Oryzias latipes: one gene and its partners. The main gene of each other region encodes a partner of the protein of the gene in region 2 in a complex. Links are inferred from orthologs where the notes say so. Each region holds a gene or a part of one and is shown on either strand. Other genes may lie near its edges.

Region 1 (4,238 bases), on a different chromosome or scaffold from region 2:
AATGAATTAGTATTTTTATTATAAAAACATATGTGGCAATAATGTAAATGGCATTTTGCTTGTTTTTTTATGTTTCACCTCTCCATGCCTGAATTTATTTTCGATAATATAAAACTATTCTGTCTTTTATCCTTTCAAAGTGATGATGCTACCTTAAGTGGAGTTCTGGGTTAAATGGTACTTTACAAAGTAGTAATAGTAGTACAGAGTAATTAGCTGGGATTAATATTTGTTATATATATATATATATATATATATATATATATATTTGATTAGACTTGCATAGGTGTTTCTGTTGTATTTCTATGCTATCACACTCTTATTTCCTGTTCGCCTTTAGCTCCCTCAAAAATATGTCACAAAGCTGCTTTTATTTTCCTCTGCAGCTTCATCAAAGGTCTTCCAGTCAAGAGTGCTGCCGTCTCTGAGCAGCTGAAACAGAGTGTTGGCTTAGAACCCATGCCAAAGGGAATAAGCTACATTATTAGCACCAAGGTACATACAAATACAGACAAAGAGGATGTTCTTTGAGCTGCAGAGTGATTCTTTTTTTTGGTCATACATTCCAGGCTGGTCCAGGCCCCCGGGTTGTGAAGGATCCCTCTCTACACCTGCTGTCACCTGATGGCTTTCCTAAACTATAAGACATAAACTTTAGTTCTTTGAAAGTAGCTTTGTTTTTTTTTGTTTTTTTACGTTTACAGATTTATACAGTTTATTATGGAGCCCCTAAAGGGACATGGAGGTAAAAAAAAAAATAATAGTATTGGTTTCTCATGCACACGAGAAAAAAAACCCAGTGTGCAGCACAGCAGCTGATCAAAGCCAGTGCATCCCCGGTACCAAAACAAACTACATGACTTTAGAACTCGTTTTAGGTGACGTTCAGAGGTAACATAACGGTGACACCAGGCAAGCAAAGCTAAAGTCTTTGTAGGGGAGTCCTAAGAAATAATAACCACTTAGTTCCTCGTGTGCAACAGTTGGTTTATTGTGCGCATGAGAAACCAGTACAATTTCTTTTACATCTATGTCCCTTTAGGGGCTCCGTAGTTTATGCCAGCATAGAAGCAAAATAAATCTTAATTTCCCCATGTAAACTGTACAGTGCGTCTTCTAAGTCACTTCAAATCACGAGTTTTTAGGTTCTATTCTAAATAAATGTTAAATGTGACAGCAGCTCTTGTGTCTTCTGATTTCTTACATCATTGTCAGTAAGCTTGTTCCTTTTACTCGCTGTTAGAAAGAGATGTTATAGTTGCATTGCCTTAAAGATCTTGTATTTGTCAATGACATTAAACCTGGGATAAATAGTTTGTAAAAAATATTTTAAACTTTATTCAATGTGGCCTTTATTGTCCGTTTCATTATGTGAGAGAATGACACACAAATCCAGATGAAGGCATCAGTTAACAAACAGGAAAAAGTTAGAAACTAAACGAAGCTATTGCTTCCTTGCCAGGAAGAAAAGGGTGAAACTTTATTTAATGATTAAGTGAAATTCCTCCCTGGCCTTGCTGCACCTGTCCGGTGGGTGTTGGCCCCGCCCTCCTCCCGGGAATCCCGCATATTTTCGGAAACGACGGGCGAGGCGGGGCTGCGTCCCGCCCGCCCCGCCCCGCCCCGCTCCTCCCAGCCGCACGTCTACGGGCTGCACCTCCTCTAAAGCGCGTCGTCTTCCTTGTGCAGGCTGCAGGGTCAGGTGTCGTCGCAGGTAGAGCGTCGTAGTCGCGTCGTTTTTGGGGTCAGCACCATGGGGAGAATAGAGTGGGCCATGTGGGCCAACGAACAGGCTCTGGCTGCAGGCCTCAGTGAGTATACAAAAGATTTTTTAAGTGTTAGTATTTGCTTTTTGTCAGGTCATGAAATAACTAGGACAATTAACACTAGAACAAATAGCTCCATTTCTGTATGGTAATTCCAGTTGCAGAAATAATGTTCATCTATAGAAAGTAAAGGTGGATTGTTGTCATTAATGCTGTTTTATTTTTTTACCTTCCTGTTTCCTTCTTGTAGTTCTTCTCGCCGGAGGAATTGTGGGAGTGGCGGGGCAGTTTAGAGGCTGGGAGTTTGCTTCTTATGCTATGTATCCTTTACCTTATTATAAGAAGTGTATTGGGATTTAGACTCTTTAATACAGTTTGCACTCTGGTTCATGAGAACCAAGTGGCGCATGCGCAGGGTTAACCTGGAGAGGTTTCCCCGAATTTTAATACCTGAAAGTGTAAAGCCTCATTCACCTTTTTTTTGAAGATAATGTATATCATCCCATCTGAATATTTCAATATTTGTTTTTATAGTCTAACTACATTGTTTTTTTTCTGTGTCTTAGACAGATGAGTATTAGTTCATAACACAACTTGTGTAGTATCCGGTACACACTTCCTTATTGTGCATGTTCAGTAAATGCAGGTTCCTCCATGAGGTTTTTTTTTCTTTTCCTGTTCATCTAAGTTAAGATTTGATTTTTTCACCCAAATGTTAAAAATCATCCATTTTATGTAACCATAAAGTCCAAAATCTGATAGATTAAATTAAAAAGTTTGTTTTGTTTGTCAATTTAGCACATTTTAGTCTTATATTAAGCACTATGTGTGTTTATGATGATGATGTTGAAGTGATAACAATAATTAAAATGCCTTGACTGAAATCAAGTGCTGCTGGGGTCTTTGTGTGCCTGCTCGAGTATCCCAGGAGCAAAAGGGCCAAGGGTACGAGTGTGGAAAGGACGTAAGTTTCCCTGTAGTCTTACCTTTATTACATATTTCATCATCAGCACGTATTTTCCTAACTATTATAAGGTTTTTTACTCACTACTCATTTTCTTTCAGGGGCCAGTACTGCTTCACAGTGTGTGTAAAAGCCTTCGGACCAGTAACAAGAAACTATTATGTCAGAGCGTTTCTGCATGCAGCGTAAGTAAGATTTGAATTCTAAATTTAGAAATTCATTTCAAGCAGTCAAAACAAGAAAAAGTAAAAAAGAAAAGAAACGTGAGAGAATAACATATATAGATTTATCAAACTTAAGATCATGAATCCTTATTTGATTGGAAAAATTTGAAGTAAAAGAGAAATATTTTCAGATACATATTTGATGAAAAACAGTTTAATTAATGTCTTGAAAAGAAGTTGAATAAAGTTGACTTTGTGGTTCTGAAACAATGCCACGCTTGAATAAGTGGACTGTTTTGTGTCAATCCTTCTTTTGCCAAACGGCATTCTTTCCACTCACTAACAATAGGCTTGTGCCATGACTGTGTTTGGTCTTAAACCCTTTTGTATTTCTCTTTACAGGCTTTGTGTACCTGGAGGTTTTATGCTTGCCACAGTTTTAGGATGTGTCTGTCTTGGCATTGCCAGTCTCATCTATCTGGCAGTAAGTTGTTCAAAGCTCACCAGTTGTCAAATTTGAAAAGTGTGTTGTAATGGCGGGAAGTGGTTAGTTTCTGGAAACAAGGAAACTGCAACTTAGAAGTTGTCCCATAGTGGTGTCTCTGTTGAAACATGACATACGTTATTGCAAAACATTAAACGAAGGTGTGACTGAATTCTCCATGAGTTTCAAAGGTTCAGATGTAACACGGTTTAAATTTAGGTTTATCTCCAATTTTGAGTAAACAACATAGTCACTATCCTTTTGTGGCAAAGCATTGACATTCTCCTGCTATCTAGGCAGCTGTCCGAGGTGAACACTGGGAACCAATTCTTCCTCGCAAAGATACTCGGAAACCTGTTGCTGAAAGCATCAAAAGTCCTCCTCAGAACCCACCACCACGACCTCCTCCAGAGATACGCCGGAAGCAAGCCAAGGATGTGGAGGGAGCTGCCTATGACAATCCCATGTCTGTGACAGATGACGAGTAACTGGACCCCCCTCACAGAATGGTGGAGGAACGGTTCGCTCAAGTTAGTGACCCTGGAGAAATACAAGAAGCTGAGATCAAAGAAAAAAGTTGATATGATCAAAAAGTTGATATGATCAAAAATATACCACATACGGTAGATGTAAATGCTGTAGCTGCTAGTTTGAAAATGTAAATATACTGTTGTCAGTTTTAAGTACTGTATGTGTTAGTGTTTACTGTTTGGAAAAATATTCAAAAGGTCCAAGTCAATATCTGTTTCCTGTTCCAGCGATCATAACTTTTATAAAAGTTTTTATATTTTATAAAAGTGATCTAGAAAAATGTGTATTTACTTGTTTCTGGAGTTTTTGAAAGCAGCTAAATGCAGGTT
Region 2 (4,372 bases):
TCAATAGTACACATCTCTTGAAATTGTTCTTTAAATACACTTTTTTTTTTTTTACAAAAAAATAAAAATAAACTGTATATGAAAAAACACAGGTCTGTATTTTAATTACCAACATTAAAAAAGTCAACGTGTTCACATCTGTATTATTAGTGTTTTTTGCTCAGGCACCACTAACCTTGGCACGGACGTTTTCAAATGAGGCCGGACTCACAAGAGAGAAGCAGATGAGGAACACATCCTGTAAGACAAAGACAAAAAAGGTTCAGAGTCCATGAAATTCATTTCCTGTTGAGCAAAAAATAAATAAAAATAAATAACCTATCGCTAAGGTGGTCTGTTTAACTTTCTTTAAAACCCTCTTCTACATTTGAATACCACAAATGCTCCCAATTAATTATTTATAAAAGTTATCAACTAAATAACACCTTGTCTGACTATTTTTGTCATTGTACCGTCTGTGGGTAAGAAAGTGGGCGGAGTCTGTCGTAGTCTTCTTGTCCAGCTGTATCCCAAAGGCCCAGGTTCACCGGCTTCCCATCCACCATAACATTGGCAGAGTAGTTATCAAACCTGTGAGAATCAAGCATTCATAAAAACTCAGTTATGTCATTCAAGCCTTGCTACATATTTCTGAATTTCTATGATCATTAGATAAATCAAACAGGTTTTTTGGGGGTCAAAAATCAAAGCCTTGTTCATCAGCAGTACATGTTTTCAGCTTGTTCTTGAATCAGAATAAAAGCAGAATGTACATTTATAAATAATCAGAATGAACCAAAGTGTTTTGAGTGACAAATTCCCAAAAAGCCACAGATCCCACAACTAAGAAAATAAACTAGCTGGTTGCACTTCTGGTAATTTTACATAACAAATGCTTCTCTGAACCCAAACAGCTGCCTGTTAAAAAAGAAAGTGACTTCTTATGTACAAGGAAACTAATATTCCCCCATAAGACCAGTTGAAGAAATGAAACAAAGACACAGTTAAGCAACAACTGTCCAGAAGAAGAATGACAGACAGCTTAGCCATTATGAATAAATAAACACTCACACTGTGGGGATGTACTCTCCTGGAAAGGCATTGGTGGTGTAGCTGATGAGTAGACATGTCTTACCCACAGCACTGAATAAGAGAAATGTTATGTTCAGAATTCAGGAAAATAAAACATATACAAGCTGTCATTAAAGTCAGGCTTAAGTTGTTCGATTATTTTACATTTACAAAGCTAAAAACAGTCCAAGCATTTTATTTAATAACATCAAAGTTACTTGAAATAATTACAACCATTAAAAATATAGTTTCAAGTTAAATGTGGACACTACGCAAAGTTTGGTTTTTAACAAACTGAAAGGAGGAAGTCTGAGAGTCACATTATCATCCGTAGGATAAAAGCAGGATCAAAATAATCCAATATCAAAAATCAATAATTGCCAGTTAATCATTTATTATCATCTCGTAGGTAATGTCAGTTTTATTGAAGCACTCCTGATAGAATGAGTGCACTGATTTCAGGAAATAAGGTTTTTTTTTCTCTTCCAGGCTAGTTGATGAGTAAGCAGATATTTTAAACTTTTGAAACTTTAAAGAGAACTGGTGCCTTAGAGTTTCTTCAAGTCGGAACGGAAAACAAAACAAAAGTCGGAGAGGTCGAGGGACGACTCCGCTGCGGTGGGACCAGCCGCACCCTCGACAAGACGTTACAAGTGTGTTTACCTCTAGCATATTACACATCAGTCAGACTTTCAATATTAGCTCATTGACAATCCTGTCTTTAAAATATTGCAAACTAAACCTACTAATTTAACTATTGTGTAACACAAAAACACGCCCGTGTCAATACAACAGAAGAAGAAACAAATTTCAACTCTTCGAAAAAGTACATATAATTTTTGCCCATTTTGTTCAAAAATAACTTCAAAACAAATCTAAGATCAATCTAACTCTATTCACTGATTTTGGCGTAAATAAATAAAAAAATCTGGAACATTGGATCCAGAACGGTAATATCAGGGGAAAAACAAATGCAATACAAAATGTTGTACATTTCGAAAAAAAAAGAAAAGAACTTGAAAGTCCAATATTTAACCGATAACTTGGCTAACTTTACAACTCCAAAAATAAGACGCAACATTTATGTCGAATGACAACTTTTCGACATCACTGGCGGTTTCAGGGTTTGATACCAAAACTGTCGATTAAATGTTAAATATCACAGTGAGTTTAGTTAGGTTCAACTTACCCGTCTCCAACAACGACACACTTTATGGCCTGCATTGCGCCGCAGCTACAGGAATGCTAAGTTAGCCCAGAGCCAGTTAACGTTAGCTCGGATAGCTTGTCCTTTGTCCGCAACTCCTCTCAAGTGAAACTACCCAACAGTCTTTGCTAACAGTCGACCGCGCTAACTCAAAACTTTCTAAACGGAGAACGGCTTGTTAGAAAATAAAGTTGCGGCGACTCAATTCGGACTTTAGGTCAACTAAACTCAGAAATTCCCTGGCAACATTCCCATGCTTTCGTGAGCTGCTCTATGAGTTATGGAGCAAAACAGCGGCCACCACCCCTATAGCTAAAGAGAAAAAAAAATGAAGCCAGCTCTACAAGATAGGGCATCCGGCGCACGCCCACAGACACCTTAACCAAAGAAAAGATAGCCTCAAACTAGTAGTAAAAAAAAGGGTCAGCTACTCTGGTCTTAAATATAAAGCTTAAAGTTATATATAAATAACATTTGAAAACTAAAATATTACATTTTGGTTTAATGAAAACAAAATAAAAGAAATCGTCGAAGACGGAATATTTACGGTGTGACACCTAGGGTGGAACTGACGTCAGTTTTGACGCGTCTACGGTTCATTTACGATTACAATGGAATTTTTGGTGTGTTGTTTAATTTCCCTGAATTATGCCTTTCAGGCTGAAAAAGTTTTTTTGGAGATGGAAGGATAGCTTGCTCTCCCACCCCTACACCACGATAAATTCAATTATACCATACCAGCAAACATGCACTGTATTAAAAAATAAAGTAGTAAAAGAAAAAAAAAGTCAATGTGTGCCTATTCTAATACGACAAAGATATTTAGCTTCAAAAATGTAACACAATCAATGATTAGTTGGTCATTGTATTTCCAAAAAGTCTGTAGTACTTTGCTTCAGTTCAAGATTTTTTGTGTAGTGAACTTCTGGAAAACAAACCAATTTACCTGGTTTTGTAATGGTGCAAAAACAACATATATACATATTTAGTAACTCAAAAAACCTCTTCTATGTTTCTGTTTGTTTAGTTTTATGAGAACCATAGTAGTTGTGTCTAGGACGTGTTTTTTTTTTCCTTAGCCACCACCCAGATCTGGAAGTCCTTTCAGTCTTTACTCGGGGTTTTATTTAATCCTGGTTTTACTGCACTTCCGTGTGTCGCAGCGATGTCTGTCCTCGGTAGAAAACTAACAGGGTGGAGTAGATGCCAGTACAACGGCAGCAAAAGACGGAGCTCGTTGAGGGTGAAAGATAGAAGAATGGAGCTTCATCCAACACTTGCAGCCATTGTAGCGTCCCCTTGCCTGTTGCCTTTGTAAGCCAAGAACACAGCGCTCAGGGTTGGGCTTTTATGGCGAGTCTTTCGTATCTGGTGCTCCGGTTTTCGGGCTCCGCTGGTCGGACTTACGGACTATTCTCCAAAGGCTTGACGAGGACTTTGTTGATATTTTTTGATCTCGCATGGCGGCTGAGAATACGATTCCCCTACTTTTACTTGGTAGCCTCAATGGTGTTTAACGTCAGATTACAGGTAAATGTTTACACACTATTTTCAGACTGACGGTCACGGTGAGCTTGTCACCATGCCAACAACAGCTGTTGGGGGGCCTCGATAGGGAACCTTTGTTCTTATAGTCAGTTAATCCCAGGTTAAATTGATATATAATCTCTACTACGTGCTGTCCCATAAAACTGGGTTCATGAAAATCATCTGTTAATCGGAAAAATAATTTACTGACATTTGATCAATAGTGAAACAAGTTCATATTCACCCATATTTAGTGTTTGTATCTGATCTAAAATAAAAAACAGTAGTCTGTAATGTGTAATCAGTCAGGGGAAACAACAAAATAGATTTTTTCAATCTTAAATATGAAATATTAGCAATAATTGATACTTTTATACCACAGAAATGTAGTATATCAGCTTTTTTCCTTGTCCTTTGAATGTGCAAAATGGAAAATGTGACGTTTTTGTCTTTTTACAGGTCCATATAGAAATCCATTGAGTCTTTAATGCAAACCTTTGGACTTTAAGAAGTGAACGGTAAGACCTCCCATGCTCAAGATGGGCTGACAGTGATTTCTTACAATCAAACTTGGAACAGAAGTTTAAA
Region 3 (2,518 bases), on a different chromosome or scaffold from region 2:
ATCTTCCTTCAATGACAAAAAGACACGTGTGTTACGATACCCTTTGTGTGTCTATTCTTCATAGAGCCTTGGAAGGTGAACCCCACACTGTACTGTTTGAGTTTGTTCCTGAAACCTGCGACGAGCTGGCCGTGAAGCCCGGCAACATGGTGTTCGTGCTGCAGAAAGGGGCAGACAACTGGGCCTATGTCATCTTCAATGGAAGAGTAAGAATGCCGTATGCACAATCTGTGATACTTCTTGAGAGTGTGTGCATCATTTTTTTCCCCCAGATTGTGTGTTTAGTAGAGAACTGAGTGCTTATTCGTGGTTATGATTACAGACGGGACTCGTACCGTACAATTACCTGGAGCGTCAGGAGATCTCTCTGGCTTTAAAACAGAAAAAGGTATTGGTACTAGGGATGCAACGATTCACTTTCTCCACGATTTAGCACAAATTTTGATTTTTTTTTGGGTCACAGTTTTGTGTCATTTTGATATAAGATTTGTTTATAAAATGACAAAAAACAAAAAATTTGGACAAATCCTTTTTTTTAATTTGGTAATCAGCGAGTTACAATGAAGTGAAAGACTTCACTTGGCTCATACTTGGGGTTGGGGTAATGTAACAAAACAATAAATACTAGGATGTATTCAGACTGGAGAAGTTAGTTGGTCTAGACCCAGTTTGCCTAATTTGGTCTGGATCAAGTCCTGAACCTTGCATTTGGTCTGTACTCAGATGGCTTTTCAGCTGGAGATTTGTTTCGAACCAAAGCTTGTAAACAAAAGCATGTGATTGAAAATCTCTGCAACCATTGGCAGGACACAGCAAGGAGATAAATAATGAAAGTCCTACAATCCATGTCGGATTATCCAAACTTTATATTTTGCTGAACAATTTTGAACGTCTGTGTCGGAGGCTGCAAGATAACTGTTTATGACACAGATTGTCGGGAAACACTGTGAAAACAATGTGTATCACGTTAAAAGTTATTTTAATGAGCTAAAGAGTTGCTCATTAAATTTAATGAGTTGCTGCGTCTCATCGTCGCTCCACAATTCTCTGCGGCTCATCCGTTTACATCCTGTAAAGATGAGGTAGCCGTTTAGGTTCAGTTGTTCTGCTCTGAATATGGAGTCTATTCAGACTGAGAAAAACTCCAGAAATGAGTCTGATTGGAAATGAACTGAAACCACCTCGAAAGACGGATCAGAGAGCGGTTCCTGGTCCAGGATCAGGGTCTGCTTGCCAGGGTCCTCAGAATGAAACTTGAAATGAACTCTGGTTCTCTTCAAGTTGAGCAAATGTTTCCAATCTGAATACAGCCTGAATGCTTTTTAAATTTAGCACACTTGTTGAACACTTTTAACCTAAAACACTGGTATGCCGTGTTCAACGATTCACTTTAATGGTTTAACATACGGTTTGGTTTCTGATCAACACTTGTGGCATCCCTAATTGATACACAATATTTATATTTTTTATTAAAAGCTCAACTTTGACATGTGGAGTAGTTTCAATCTTTAAGTATCCTGATTTCCTCTCAAATTTTTGCGTGTTGTTGAAAATTGCCTTTAATGGGAATAACTGTCACCAGGGTTTGGTTCCAACTTCAAGTCGAGAAGCACCGAATATACCGGAGAGGACTCGAGGTAGATTTTATGACACACAGGCTTTAAAACATTCTCGTTTCCTCCGTTTCTCCATGTTTGATCTGGTCTGTTGCCGTTCAGGTCTCAGTTCTGGGAACGACAGCAATGGAAATGAAGAGCAGACGGTACGCTGAGACAAACCCAACAGTCAGTGGTCCTCATCATAAACGCCTCGTTGATCATTCGGTTTCCTTTCAAATCCAAGGTTCCAGACAGTTTATACATCGTCAAAGTTCACTTCACATTCACCTTTGCTGTCTCAATACCACGTGAGTCTTCCTATGAAGTGCTGATAAGAAAAATAAGCAAGAAGGTGAAGCTCCCGTCAGACAACATCTCCTTAAGGTAGAGCCATCATTTTAACCCCAAAACTGACACCTTCCATTGATCCTCATCTTTGTATGACAAAAGTTACCGTCGTATTTTGGCTTCAGCTTAGATTCAAGCGGACAACGTGCGATTGATGCAAACACAGACATGGAAACGGTGTGGAGCCAGGTCCGTGCCGGGCGCATCACTTTGTGGTGCAAAGAAAAGAAGGTAAGGAAGTGGTGGCGGCGCACAAACCAGGCGTTTCTGTCAACATCACCATTAAGCAACGAGATGCAACTGAAAGGAAGTTTGGACATCATATTCCTGTTTACTGAGAACTTTTGCTTCATCAGTGTGAATGAGTTCACATGTATGGGGAGGCCGTGGTGCAGCGGTAGGGCGGTCGACCCATGATCGTAAGATTGCAGGTTCGATTCCCGCCTTGCACGCCCACGTGTCGAAGTGTCCTTGGGCAAGACACTGAACCCTAACTTGCCTCTGGTGGGAGGTTGGCGCCAGTGTTTGGCAGCGGAGCCGCCATCAGTGTGTGAATGTGTGTGTGCATGGGT

What was found.
Region 1: ras-related C3 botulinum toxin substrate 1 (region 2) and cytochrome b-245 light chain share a complex: the UniProt entries of both Homo sapiens proteins name them as parts of the phagocyte NADPH oxidase complex. The link is inferred for Oryzias latipes from reciprocal best matches to the Homo sapiens genes RAC1 and CYBA.
Region 3: ras-related C3 botulinum toxin substrate 1 (region 2) and ncf2 share a complex: the UniProt entries of both Homo sapiens proteins name them as parts of the phagocyte NADPH oxidase complex. The link is inferred for Oryzias latipes from reciprocal best matches to the Homo sapiens genes RAC1 and NCF2.

Annotation. Positions count from the first base shown.
Region 1 is NC_019861.2:22,090,628-22,094,865, forward strand, and holds the start of cytochrome b-245 light chain, read left to right. Parts: upstream 1-1,343; 5' UTR 1,344-1,753; coding exon 1,754-1,811; intron 1,812-2,016; coding exon 2,017-2,086; intron 2,087-2,655; coding exon 2,656-2,730; intron 2,731-2,831; coding exon 2,832-2,915; intron 2,916-3,296; coding exon 3,297-3,378; intron 3,379-3,674; coding exon 3,675-3,866; 3' UTR 3,867-4,238. Other genes in the region: mvd (diphosphomevalonate decarboxylase), read left to right, coding at 387-495, 570-644. UniProt on the Homo sapiens protein: Subunit of NADPH oxidase complexes that is required for the NADPH oxidase activity that generates, in various cell types, superoxide from molecular oxygen utilizing NADPH as an electron donor.
Region 2 is NC_019866.2:11,732,816-11,737,187, forward strand, and holds the start of ras-related C3 botulinum toxin substrate 1, read right to left. Parts: upstream 2,823-4,372; 5' UTR 2,275-2,822; coding exon 2,240-2,274; intron 1,123-2,239; coding exon 1,051-1,122; intron 571-1,050; coding exon 453-570; intron 239-452; coding exon 176-238; intron 1-175. UniProt on the Homo sapiens protein: Plasma membrane-associated small GTPase which cycles between active GTP-bound and inactive GDP-bound states.
Region 3 is NC_019878.2:10,708,086-10,710,603, reverse strand, and holds part of ncf2 (neutrophil cytosol factor 2), read left to right. Parts: intron 1-64; coding exon 65-206; intron 207-322; coding exon 323-388; intron 389-1,582; coding exon 1,583-1,637; intron 1,638-1,718; coding exon 1,719-1,762; intron 1,763-1,842; coding exon 1,843-1,982; intron 1,983-2,071; coding exon 2,072-2,177; intron 2,178-2,518. UniProt on the Homo sapiens protein: Subunit of the phagocyte NADPH oxidase complex that mediates the transfer of electrons from cytosolic NADPH to O2 to produce the superoxide anion (O2(-)).